3 linked regions of the Canis lupus familiaris genome follow. The protein of the gene in region 1 interacts with the protein of each later gene in a biochemical or structural test. Links are inferred from orthologs where the notes say so. Each region holds a gene or a part of one and is shown in the gene's direction. Other genes may lie near its edges.

What was found.
Region 2: the proteins of GNAZ (region 1) and RGS20 form a complex in vitro, tested with the Homo sapiens proteins (2 studies listed by BioGRID, with this or other methods). The link is inferred for Canis lupus familiaris from reciprocal best matches to the Homo sapiens genes GNAZ and RGS20.
Region 3: the proteins of GNAZ (region 1) and LRRK1 form a complex in vitro, tested with the Homo sapiens proteins (2 studies listed by BioGRID and IntAct, with this or other methods). The link is inferred for Canis lupus familiaris from reciprocal best matches to the Homo sapiens genes GNAZ and LRRK1.

The regions. Positions count from the first base shown.
Region 1 is NC_049247.1:27,875,057-27,878,656, forward strand, and holds the start of GNAZ (guanine nucleotide-binding protein G(z) subunit alpha), read left to right. Parts: upstream 1-1,012; 5' UTR 1,013-1,065; coding exon 1,066-1,788; intron 1,789-3,600. UniProt on the Homo sapiens protein: Guanine nucleotide-binding proteins (G proteins) are involved as modulators or transducers in various transmembrane signaling systems.
Region 2 is NC_049250.1:5,822,444-5,826,265, forward strand, and holds the start of RGS20 (regulator of G-protein signaling 20), read left to right. Parts: upstream 1-1,098; 5' UTR 1,099-1,371; coding exon 1,372-1,536; intron 1,537-3,822. UniProt on the Homo sapiens protein: Inhibits signal transduction by increasing the GTPase activity of G protein alpha subunits thereby driving them into their inactive GDP-bound form.
Region 3 is NC_049224.1:40,400,261-40,403,982, reverse strand, and holds part of LRRK1 (leucine-rich repeat serine/threonine-protein kinase 1), read left to right. Parts: intron 1-1,219; coding exon 1,220-1,384; intron 1,385-1,929; coding exon 1,930-2,102; intron 2,103-3,115; coding exon 3,116-3,236; intron 3,237-3,520; coding exon 3,521-3,680; intron 3,681-3,722.

The DNA.
Region 1 (3,600 bases):
TGTTCCCCGCCCGAGACCTCTGCCTTGCTCTGCTCCCTGCCTGTCTGTTTACTGCCAGGCCTCGCCAGCCTCCTCCTGGTGAATGTCCTGCCCTGAGAGAGCGAAGGAGTGACCCAGCTCCCATGAGAGGTGGTGAGGGGAGATCATCCAGTTACCCTGGTGTCGGACCCCACTGTAAACCAAGGAGGGGCCAAGGCCCATTGATGCTGTGACACATGTGGGTACACCCCCGGCAGCACAGGAGAGGGTGAGGGAGGTGGTGGTGAGGGGAGGACATCAGAGCAGGTTCTCTGTATGGAATCCTAAAGAACAACAGACCCAGAGACTGAGGCTGCGGGAGGGTGAGGTTGGCCGGATGCAGGTGGGGAGGGAAGGGCGGCAGGGCCCCAGACTCCCTCCCTCGCTCCAGAAACCCTAAGGCTAACGTCCCAGTGTGGCTCTGGGCACCCTTTCCTCAAGTACCAGGCTTCAGGCACACTGGCTGGCCAGGCAGGGTGTGAGGCGCGGAGTGGGGCGCAACTCAGCGGAGTCCCAGGGAGGGGAGCGGGTGTGCTTCACCGTCCCCCAGGCTGCTTCCCGAGGAGGCCCGGTTTCCCTCTTTCCCACCCAGCCTGCGGCGGGGGGAGGCTCACCCTCTTCTCTGTGTTGGCAGGTGAAGGGCGGATGCCCAAGGCGGGGGGCCCGCAGGGAGCGCGCGCGGCACCGGCCCGGCAAGCGGCGGCCAGACGGCAGCAGCCTCGGCAGACGCTGGAGTCCGGCTTCCCACCGTCGGGAGGACAGGGCATGACGGCGGCAGATCGGGCCCCACAGTGGCCCGGGCAGGTGGAGAGTCACTAGGGAGGCTCGGCCGCCTCCTCGCCCCGGGCGATCGCCATGCCGGCTGGAGCAGAGCTGCTGGGGCAGGGGCCGCAGCGTGGCGTGGCCTCGCCCCGCCGCCCGCGCTGAGCGCTCCGAGGGCTCCGTCTGCCCCGCACCGGCCCGCGTCTCGGCGTCCCCCCCGCTCGGCGGCGACAGGGAGCGGCGCCCCGTCCCGTGCTCTGCATCTGGGCCCGCCGCTGCCGGACCATGGGATGTCGGCAAAGCTCAGAGGAGAAAGAGGCGGCGCGGCGGTCCCGGAGGATCGACCGCCATCTGCGCTCGGAGAGCCAGCGGCAGCGCCGCGAGATCAAACTGCTCCTGCTGGGCACCAGCAACTCGGGCAAGAGCACCATCGTGAAGCAGATGAAGATCATCCACAGCGGCGGCTTCAACCTGGAGGCCTGCAAGGAGTACAAGCCCCTGATCATCTACAACGCCATCGACTCGCTGACCCGCATCATCCGCGCCCTGGCCGCCCTCAAGATCGACTTCCACAACCCGGACCGCGCCTACGACGCCGTCCAGCTGTTCGCGCTCACCGGCCCTGCCGAGAGCAAGGGCGAGATCACCCCCGAGCTGCTGGGCGTCATGCGGCGGCTGTGGGCCGACCCCGGGGCGCAGGCCTGCTTCGGCCGCTCCAGCGAGTACCACCTGGAGGACAACGCCGCCTACTACCTGAACGACCTGGAGCGCATCGCCGCGCCCGACTACATCCCCACCGTCGAGGACATTCTGCGCTCCCGGGACATGACCACGGGCATCGTGGAGAACAAGTTCACCTTCAAGGAGCTGACCTTCAAGATGGTGGACGTGGGCGGGCAGAGGTCGGAGCGCAAGAAATGGATCCACTGTTTCGAGGGCGTCACGGCCATCATCTTCTGTGTGGAGCTTAGTGGCTACGACCTGAAGCTCTACGAGGACAACCAGACGGTGAGTGTGCCGGGCTTTGCCCCTGCCTGTTCCCGCCTCGCTGGCTCCTGGGAAGTGGTGGGCTTGAGGGGGTGGGCAGGGCAGGCGACGCTGAGGCACGGGGCTCCGGCCAGGGGCCGTCTCTGGGAGCACAGCGTGGAGCGTGGGGGGGGGGCGTGTCTCGGGCACCGGAGGGCCTCGGGGTACCGTCTGCTGTGGCGCCTCTCTTGGGGGCCGCTAGCACGGACAGGTCCCACTCTGACCTGAGGGTCCCTCACGGGCCCTCGGGGTCTCTGCATCCCTCTGAGTGACCACCACACCCTCGGGCCCCACCAGGTAGGGATGTCCTCACCCAGCTGCTGACAGCACTACCCTCAGGATGCTCATAGACCCCAGGTACCCAGGTGGCCCCTGCCTCAGTGCCACGAGCAGCCCACACCCATGCCCGAAATGCCCAGGGCGTGGAGAGCCATCCCTCTGCCAAGTGGGACCTACTCCTTGGCCCCAAGACCATGTTGCTTGGAGCCCAGAAAAGCGGCCCTGGGGTGCCCGGCCCGCAGGGAAGGCTCACTGGGGAGGAAGAAGGGGGAGCTGGGCCCTATGAGGGGCTCTGCTCTGGGTGAGTTTGGGGTGCAGTCAGGTGTGAGGGGGTATAGCCCTGGAGGCTGGGAGGGAGGTTGACAGCTCGGCAGGACATGAATGGAGACAAGGCCCAGGCCAGGCATCCGGTTGCTGGTCTATGTAGCAATCCAGGAAATACACAAAACCCCTATGATTACAGGCACTGTTATGGGTGCTGGGAACTGCAGCCACGGCCCCACAGCCCCTTTGGGATCCTTAGAGTCTGGCAGCAACAGGGTTAAGAACTGTTTCTGAGGCTTAATCCCCAGGGGTCGGGTGGGTATGGGGGTTCTTTCAGGCCCTCAGCCTGAACACTGTGGTTCTCAGCGTGGAGAAGGGCGCTCAAAGGAAGGGGGTGGATGGAGCCCCCATAGAGGGGACACAGTGCAGGGAGGTACCCAGGAGCACCCAGGGTTGGTGCTGAGCCAGTGGGGGCTCGAGGGGGAGAGGGTGGGCAGCATGATGCAGGTGCAACCAAGGCAGAAAGCCCAGTGCACAAGGCACCGCAGGGGCTTTGGGTGCCCAGGAGTGGTGGTGGAGGCTGAGCAGCCGGATGGGGTGGGGGGTGGCCCAGGCTGTCCTACAGAGGACATTTTGTGCCAGGCAGGAGCACTGAACAGAGACTCGCAATCTGCCCTTGAGGCCTTTGACGCTGGGGGCAGGAGGTGTGGGGGCAAACGGGTCCACAAATAGCCATACATGGTATGGAGCTGTGGGTGCCAGCAGCTCAGGGGGGCAGTGGTCTGGCAGGGGGAAGGGGTGGTGATGGTCCTGGTGGGGGACCCACTGTGCTGGGAAATGGGGGTGGGGGGTTAGCCTCCAGGGCCTAGGGGACCAGGGCAATGGCAAGGAAGGGGCTTCATTCAGTCTTTTTTAAGGCAGGTGGTAGCTTTGTTCTTTGGGTTCAGTTGGGAGTCTTAATTGGGCTGCGGCCCCAAGAAAGTATACAGACGGCCTTGGGCTGCGGCCACCATGCTGGGTGCCTGAGCATTTTTCTGGATGGAGAGAAGGTCTGTGTCTTTCAAGGTATTCAAGGAAATCTAGCCTCTTGGAGAAGGGGAAAGAAACAGCTGCAGGTGATCGTGAAGACAGGAGGCAGGGCTCCCCCTCTGTCCTGTGTGCACCCGGGGGTCTCTCCAGGACTGTGCCAGGCAGTGACGGTGTCAGGGGCCTAGGCTAAGGACACTGCATCCACGGGGCAGGCCTGCCTTG
Region 2 (3,822 bases), on another chromosome or scaffold:
CTTTCCTCTGTTGAGTTATTTTGGCACCTTGTCAAAAATCAATTGTCCCTAAATGTATGGATCTATTTATGGACTCTCTATTCTGTTGATCTATAGGTCTATTTTTATGTGAGTACCACACTATTAATTACTGTGGCTTTATAATTAGTTTTTTTTATTTATTCATGAGAGAGAGGCAGAGACACAGAGGGAGAAGCAGGATCCCTGTGGAGAACCTGATGCGGGACTCGATCCTGGAACCCTGGAATCACAACCTAAGCCAAAGGCAGACGCTCAACCACTGAGCCACCCAAGCATCCCCTTATAATAAGTTTTTAAATTGAGAAATGTGAATCCTCCAACTTTGTTCTCCTTTTTATGAGATTGTTTTGGATAGTCTGGGTCCCTTACAGTTCCATATGAATTTTACAATCAATCTATCAATTTCTCACAAAAAAAAAAAGAATAAAAAGAAAAGGAAGCTGAAAGAAAAGGAAAAAAAGAAGCTGAAATGTTGATAGGGACTGTGACTGTGTTTGTTTTGCATACCAATTCTGGAGGCCCGGGGTCATTTTACAAAAGGAAATTTCTCCAGTTCATAACCCAAGTAATATACATCTGGGGTCTTTACCCCTGTGCACCAGACCCAGCAATGGTTACTTGAATATTAGATATTCCTTGAGAGAAAGATATTATGTTCTACTCTTTGCACTCTGTGTAATAATCTTTATTTATAGGGCACTTTACAAATGTGAAGCACAATATTCGAAGCCAACTTTTGGTTTAATCACTAGATGACTAGTTACTTCATAAGAAAAATCATTTTAATCCTACATCATATCAATTTAGGTGTAATAATCCTTGGGCTTAAGTTTGGGTGTGAGTTTAGCAAATATTTCTAACCGCAAAGCTAACTGCTGCTAAAATGACCTTTTAAGAAAACTACATAGATTAGGCAGACCATCTGCCTCTCCATTGCGTGGTCCAAGATGATCAAATACTAGTCCCTATCACACATGACTAATGCAGAATTTCGCAAAATAGTCTATTCCCTTTATCATTATATCCTAAGCAATATATCACTTACACCATTTCTTTCCATTTTGATTTAGGAATTAAATTTGAATTAGGAACACATTGCTGCCTGCAGAGGGCAGTCATAACATATCTAGACATTCAAAACCAGAAGCTCTACCTGGAATAGAACACTAGTGGATAAACTGCTGATCCCCAAAACAGATAATCCTGTTGCTTCAGATAGTGAAGCAGAGAGATCCCCAGCTGGCTGAGAGATGGCACAGCATCCACCAGACGAAGAGAAGTAGACTGGATCCTGGGCTACTGCTGTTAAAAACAGGCTGCAGGACTCATTTAGAACTTTATTGTAAAAACATGCCCAGTCTTCCCCAAGACAACCAAGAGTGCCTCCAGGAACATTTCTCTAGGCCATCTATGTGGAAGCAATTTCTGCCCCTGCGTAGGGCAGAGGGATATAAAGCAAACATTCACCAAACCATGGAAAATGAAGGTAGCACCAAGGCTGTGCATGATGTCAAGGTAAGACAATCTCCACAACCCCTGATCCTTTCTTGACAAGGAAAATTTTTATCTGGAAAGAATTTAAAACCATAAGCAAGCTTTCATACTATTGCTCTATCTTACTAATAGTTTATCAAAATGTTTTCAAGCTAACCCCAAGAGGAAAACTAGAACTTTGATAATAATTACCAGATCTGTCCAGTTTTCTCCAACCTAAACAGCTTCCCTTTACGAAGACAAATGCTTATTTATTGTTTGTTTGTTTGTTTGTTTGTTTCAGGAGGGGTAATGTTTTTTAAAAAAGGAAATCTAGCCATAGATTTTTATGACTGTTGATATTTTGTGGCTATTGTAGTTTGGATATTTTTCTCTAAAATAAAATTTATTTCTCGTACAGTATTGAAAGAAAAACTATAGACTGCTTTCTACAAAAATTGCTCAAGAAAAAATTGATAAAATAATACAGGAACATAAGAACATTAAGAAGCTAAGGGATTTTTTCCTGAATTCATAGTTTCCTATGGTGAATTTTTTAAGCATGAATTTCTATCAATAGGTAACATTATTTCCCCAAAGAGTGACAATTTGCCTGCTCGGTGTTGTGTGTATCTTTGCAGTTTAAGTCTGTAAATCCTCTTAACTATGAATAGAACCATCTCTTAAAAGGTTATTCAGAGAAAGGGGGATGGGCCATGTTACTGCCTACAAATAATCAGAGCTCAGAATTAAATGCTGCAATCATACTACAGCAAACCTATCCAAATACTTTAACACCAAAAAACTGATCCGTCCTTGTGCCATGGCTCATATCCTGACAATAAACATGATTTATTATTGGATATCTTATTTTAACCAATTGGCACAGGAAGAAGAAAAATGTAGAAATGTACTGACCTTCACTTTTGACCTTTCAGACATATGTGAACAAATAATATGTGATATTCACAGCTCCTATCATCACCTGAGCACTAGGTCTTTAGGAAGCTAAAATGAAATAGATATACTGGCTGGAAGTCCTTAATTAATGGGCATCTAAACCTAAATGTAGGGAACCTATGCAAAAGAGATTTCTGAAAGGTAGAATTTGGAGGTTACTCTGCGGAAACAGCAACAACAACTTGGGTATATTTTATGTGTGTGCACACATATAATTTCAAAGTTCTAACTGTATTGAGGGGTACTCTTTAAACAGAATCATAGGCAGAGGGATCCCTGGGTGGCGCAGTGGTTTAGCGCCTGCCTTTGGCCCAGGGCGCGATCCTGGAGACCCGGGATCGAATCCCACGTCGGGCTCCCGGTGCATGGAGCCTGCTTCTCCCTCTGCCTGTGTCTCTGCCTCTCTCTCTCTCTCTCTGTGACTATCATAAATAAATAAAAATTAAAAAAAAAAAAGAATCATAGGCAGATAAATTGGAAAAGTATTTATGAATCAGCAGTACATCTTCCCACAGCATCCTGGAATCAAATACACTTCCAGTACTGGACAATCCTACCTGTGATACTGACCTCATTCACCCAGATAAACGGGTTCCAGCCAGTACAGCAGCAGGTATGAGTAGTCAGGAGTGATCCAGTTGAAATGCTACTGGCCTTCCCACTCAGTTTTGCCTCCTCAAAAAATCTTATGTTGCATCTGAACATAGATACACATATAGGTGAACATGTCCCTCTTCTAGCATATATGAGGATGATAGAACTCAATCCATTTTAATTCTACAAACAGCATTGCATCCTTACTATGTGTAAAACCTGGGTTAGGTTTTGAGAAAGAAAAAGATATGCTCCTTCTCCTTGGCAGACTTACAATACATTGGAAAACAGACAAACATATCAACATTTATTAAGTTATCGTATTATCACCATGACTCATGTCAACAGTAGAGGATATCTATGTAACTACATTCTTTTGATCAGTAAGGCAGTAAAATGTTAGGGATGGCATATGACCAATATAGAGTAAAACAACTGAAAATTGCCTAATGAAAGAGTTAAAGAGATGAAATTTAAAGTAGACATGAAATAATGTCTTAGAAATATGGAAAAGTGGGCAGCCCGGTGGCTCAGTGATTTAGGGCTGCCTTCAGCCCAGGGCATGATCCTGGAGACCCAGGATTGAGTCCCACGTCAGGCTCCCTGCATGGAGCCTGCTTCTCCCTCTGCCTGTGTCTCTGCCTCTCTCTCTCTCTGTGTGTCTCTCATGAATAAATAAATAAAATCTTTAAAAAAAAGAAATATGGAAAAGTAGACAGGGAGAGCATGGGATGGAATGTGTTTAGATGTCTAGAGGCCAGTGATAAAACCTTC
Region 3 (3,722 bases), on another chromosome or scaffold:
GCCTTGGGGCCAGAGGCTGCATGATTTACCCCCACAGCCCCCAGGACAGGGCCAGCTAGAGATAGGTTTCCTTGCAAAAGTCTTTTACACAAAATCACTTTCCAAATCAGGCATTCCAGTTCAGGTCATTAGGCATTTAAACTGTCCTCTAGAGAGCAGGGTCCTGCCCTGTAATGCCTTGTAATGCCTTGTAACGCCAGAACGATTGGTTACTTAATACCAGCAGTACCATCACCACCACCCCTGAACACCCCAGGAGTGAATCTCACTAACTCCTGTCCAGAGCGTCTCTAAAGTCACCCATAATCTCTGGATTCTCTCCTATTTTTTTGGTTTTGGGTTTTTGGGTTTTTTTGAGTAGTGACTTAGTATCACTTTCTTTCAACTGGTCTGTTTCAAATGCTTTCCGAGGTCAGAGAGGTGAATTGCTGTTTCCATTTTTCCTGTCCTTTGGCATCCACTTCCATTTGGCCAGCATTATAATTTCCCCTCCTAACCTTTCGAATGCTGAGCTGTGTCACTGCCCGTGTGTCTGGGCCCTCAGCCAGTTCAGAACAGCTGTCCATTTTCATGCCTTTGCAAAAGCCGGTCAGCACGCCTTGTCTTGGCCTCCTCTTGGAGGCCAAAATGCAATGTCGTGCAAACGATTCTTTGCTGCAGGAAACTGCAGTCCTAGTTGCTGGGGCCAGACTCTGACCTCATAGGACAATAGAGAAACCACCGTTTACACAGCCTTTCCTGGCAGCACAACAGCACATCTGTTGTTTGATTCCCACATCAGGGCAGCTGCCCATCATCCTTGGTGGGCGCCGCCTCCCAGCCTACGCAAGTTCAGAGGCCCATCTCCTCGGCCTCACCCTCGCAGGCACCGATGGAGTTTAAGCCTTGGGTGAGTGCTGACGTCAGCACCTGGGTGTCCCCTCCAGTAGGGAACCATCTGCAGCAGAGACAGAGGCAGAACAGTGTCCCCAGCGTTCTGCAGACACAGTTGGACACAAACACCCCAGCCCACAGGAGCCAGCCATCCAGGGCCGGGCCCCCTGCTCTGTTGGCGGTAGATAGGAGCTTCCAGAAGTCCTTCTCTTGGGTTACTTGATTCCTGAGACAAATGGCAGGATGAGGAAAGCCCTTCCCGTGCTGTGCCTGAGCCATCTCAACGTGTTTGGCTATAGCCTTGGTCCCTAACTGCCTCCTGTCACTGTTCTTGTTGCACAAGCAGGTGGATTCTGTGGAATTCACCGTCTGGGACATCGGAGGCCCCGCCAGCATGGCCACTGTCAACCAGTGCTTCTTCACGGACAAGGCCCTGTACGTGGTGGTCTGGAACCTGGCACTGGGAGAGGAGGCCGTGGCCAGCCTCCAGTTTTGGCTGCTCAACATTGAGGTGAGGAGGCACCAGCCCTGCAGCTCTCGGGCCTCGGAACATCACGGGGAGCAGGGTGAGGGGGTCTGCCGCTGCTCTGAAGCATCCCCTTGACTGCGGAAATAAAAGGAATGGTCAGGGAGAAACGCTTGGCATCTTGGCAGGCTTTCAGAGGACCCAGAATCAGGTCGCAGTGAAGCGCTTCAAACCCTCCTTGACCAGGTGATTATCAGCACTCTTAAATTTAAGAGCCCCCACCCCCGACTCTTGGACGCAAAAGGAAGACAGAGCTCCCGTCTCACAAGTCAAGGTGGCAAGAGCCTGGATGCAGGCCACAGCCACAGGAAGCTGACATAGAGGCTGAGGGGATCAGAAATCCAGCTCTTCTGGGGTGCCTCATGCAACCCCTCGGTGCATAACATGCCCTCGAGGCTTACAGAGCGGAGTGTGGGGCACAGTCCTGGGTGGTGCCGAGGGTCGGCTCGCCTCTGTGCCCGGGAGCTATGTCCCAGTCTCTTCTTGGAGCAAAGGAAGCCGATGCTCAGCTGTGGGGTTCTCTCTGGCAGGCCAAGGCCCCAAATGCTGTGGTGCTGGTGGTCGGAACACACCTGGACTTAATCGAAACCAAATTCCGAGTGGAGAGAATTGCAACGCTGCGCGCCTATGTGCTGGCGCTCTGCCGCTCACCATCCGGGTCCCGGGCCACAGGCTTCCCAGACATCACCTTCAAACACTTGCAGTGAGTGTCCTGCTCTCTCTTGCCTGGTGCCTGGCTGTGGCTGAGGCTGCTGCTCCTTCACCTGTCCATCTGCCGGGGGCCACCGGGATCTGCCTACAGAGGGCTCCTGAGCCAGAGCAGACCAGACCACCCCGGGGAGGGCAAGCTGCCTCTAGTGGGCAGGCAGGGCAGAGCCTGGGCACACCCTCTCCATGCTTCCCTCGGGGTCCCCTCCCCGCTGGAGCCAATGCTGAGCATGCATGGCCCTGATGGGACCAGGAGATAGAAATGCGTGTGCCTGCCACTCGTCACGTTTGCTGATCTCTGACCAATCGCAGACCCAGGTGTGGTCCTGGTCCTCACACTGGGTCTGAGCGGTCCCGGCCACTGCCAGTGGGACCAGAGCCCTGGGCTTGTTGCTTCTCTCTTGACTCACGACAGCCCTGTGGGGTTATGGGAGTCCTTGTGCCCACTTCACAGGCGATGGAACAGGCCCAGCAAGTTAAGGAAGCATTCTCTCGTAGGAATGAAGTGTGAGTTGCTGTGCTGGTGGCTCTCAGGTTCCTTCACCCCACTCCCCCTGGGTGGAGTGCTGCAGACCTTGGTGCAGGGTCAACCTGGGGACACCTCCACCTGCCCCAGAATGCAGGATCTGGCTGGTCCTGATGCAGAATTTCAGGAATTCTTCGTGTGCCCTTGAGGACACCCTGAGGCCGGCGATAAAATAGGGGCACTGGCCCTGGGCCAGAACCAGGTCCACCCCAAGTGTGCTCCCTTCCAGCTTGTGTCCTTGGGGGGGTGGGGGGTGTCACCTGGCACCTTTGGTCCTCACTTTCCTCCTCCTCAGGACACATACTACATCGCTCCCAGCACAGAGCTTTGCACTGAGAGCTTAATACATTTCTCTGTGTTCACCCTTCATGGGTTCTTTTAACTTGCCAGCCTTAGGGATGAAATTTTGGGACACAGATGCTGCAGAACTTGTCAGTGAGAAGAGGTGTGATGAGTGATCACGTTCTGTTTTGCACTCACAGTGAGCTCTCCTGTAAGAGTCTGGAAGGCCAGGAGGGGCTACGGCAGCTGATTTTCCATGTCACGTGCAACATGAAGGATGTGGGCAGCACCATCGGCTGCCAGAGACTTGCGGGGAGGCTGGTGGGTACCGTAGGCAGGATCCCACTGAAGCCAGAGGGGCTGTTCCCTATTCGCCAGGAATCTAAACTTCCCAGCCCCCCCATTGTCAAACACGTGTGCTGCGGGCTTAGGCTCAACAGTCCCCCATGCGAGCAGTTTTCTGGGGCAGGGGTGGGGAAGGCTGGGGATGGGGCAGCGAGAAGGGAAGTTCACACACTCAAGCCTCCGAGGGCAGCAAGCAGGGTTGGGTGGGCCGGGCACACCTCAGGACCTGAGGGGCCCAGCCTGCCCCCTCTGCACCCCAGATCCCCAGGAGCTACCTGAGCCTCCAGGAGGCTGTGCTGGCAGAGCAGCAGCGCCGTAGCCTGAGCGACGACGTGCAGTATCTCACAGACAGGCAGCTGGAGCAGCTGGTGGAGCAGATGCCTGACAATGACATCAAAGACTACGAGGACCTGCAATCGGGTGAGCGGGCAGGCCAGGAGGGCAGGTGGACGGGACACAAGC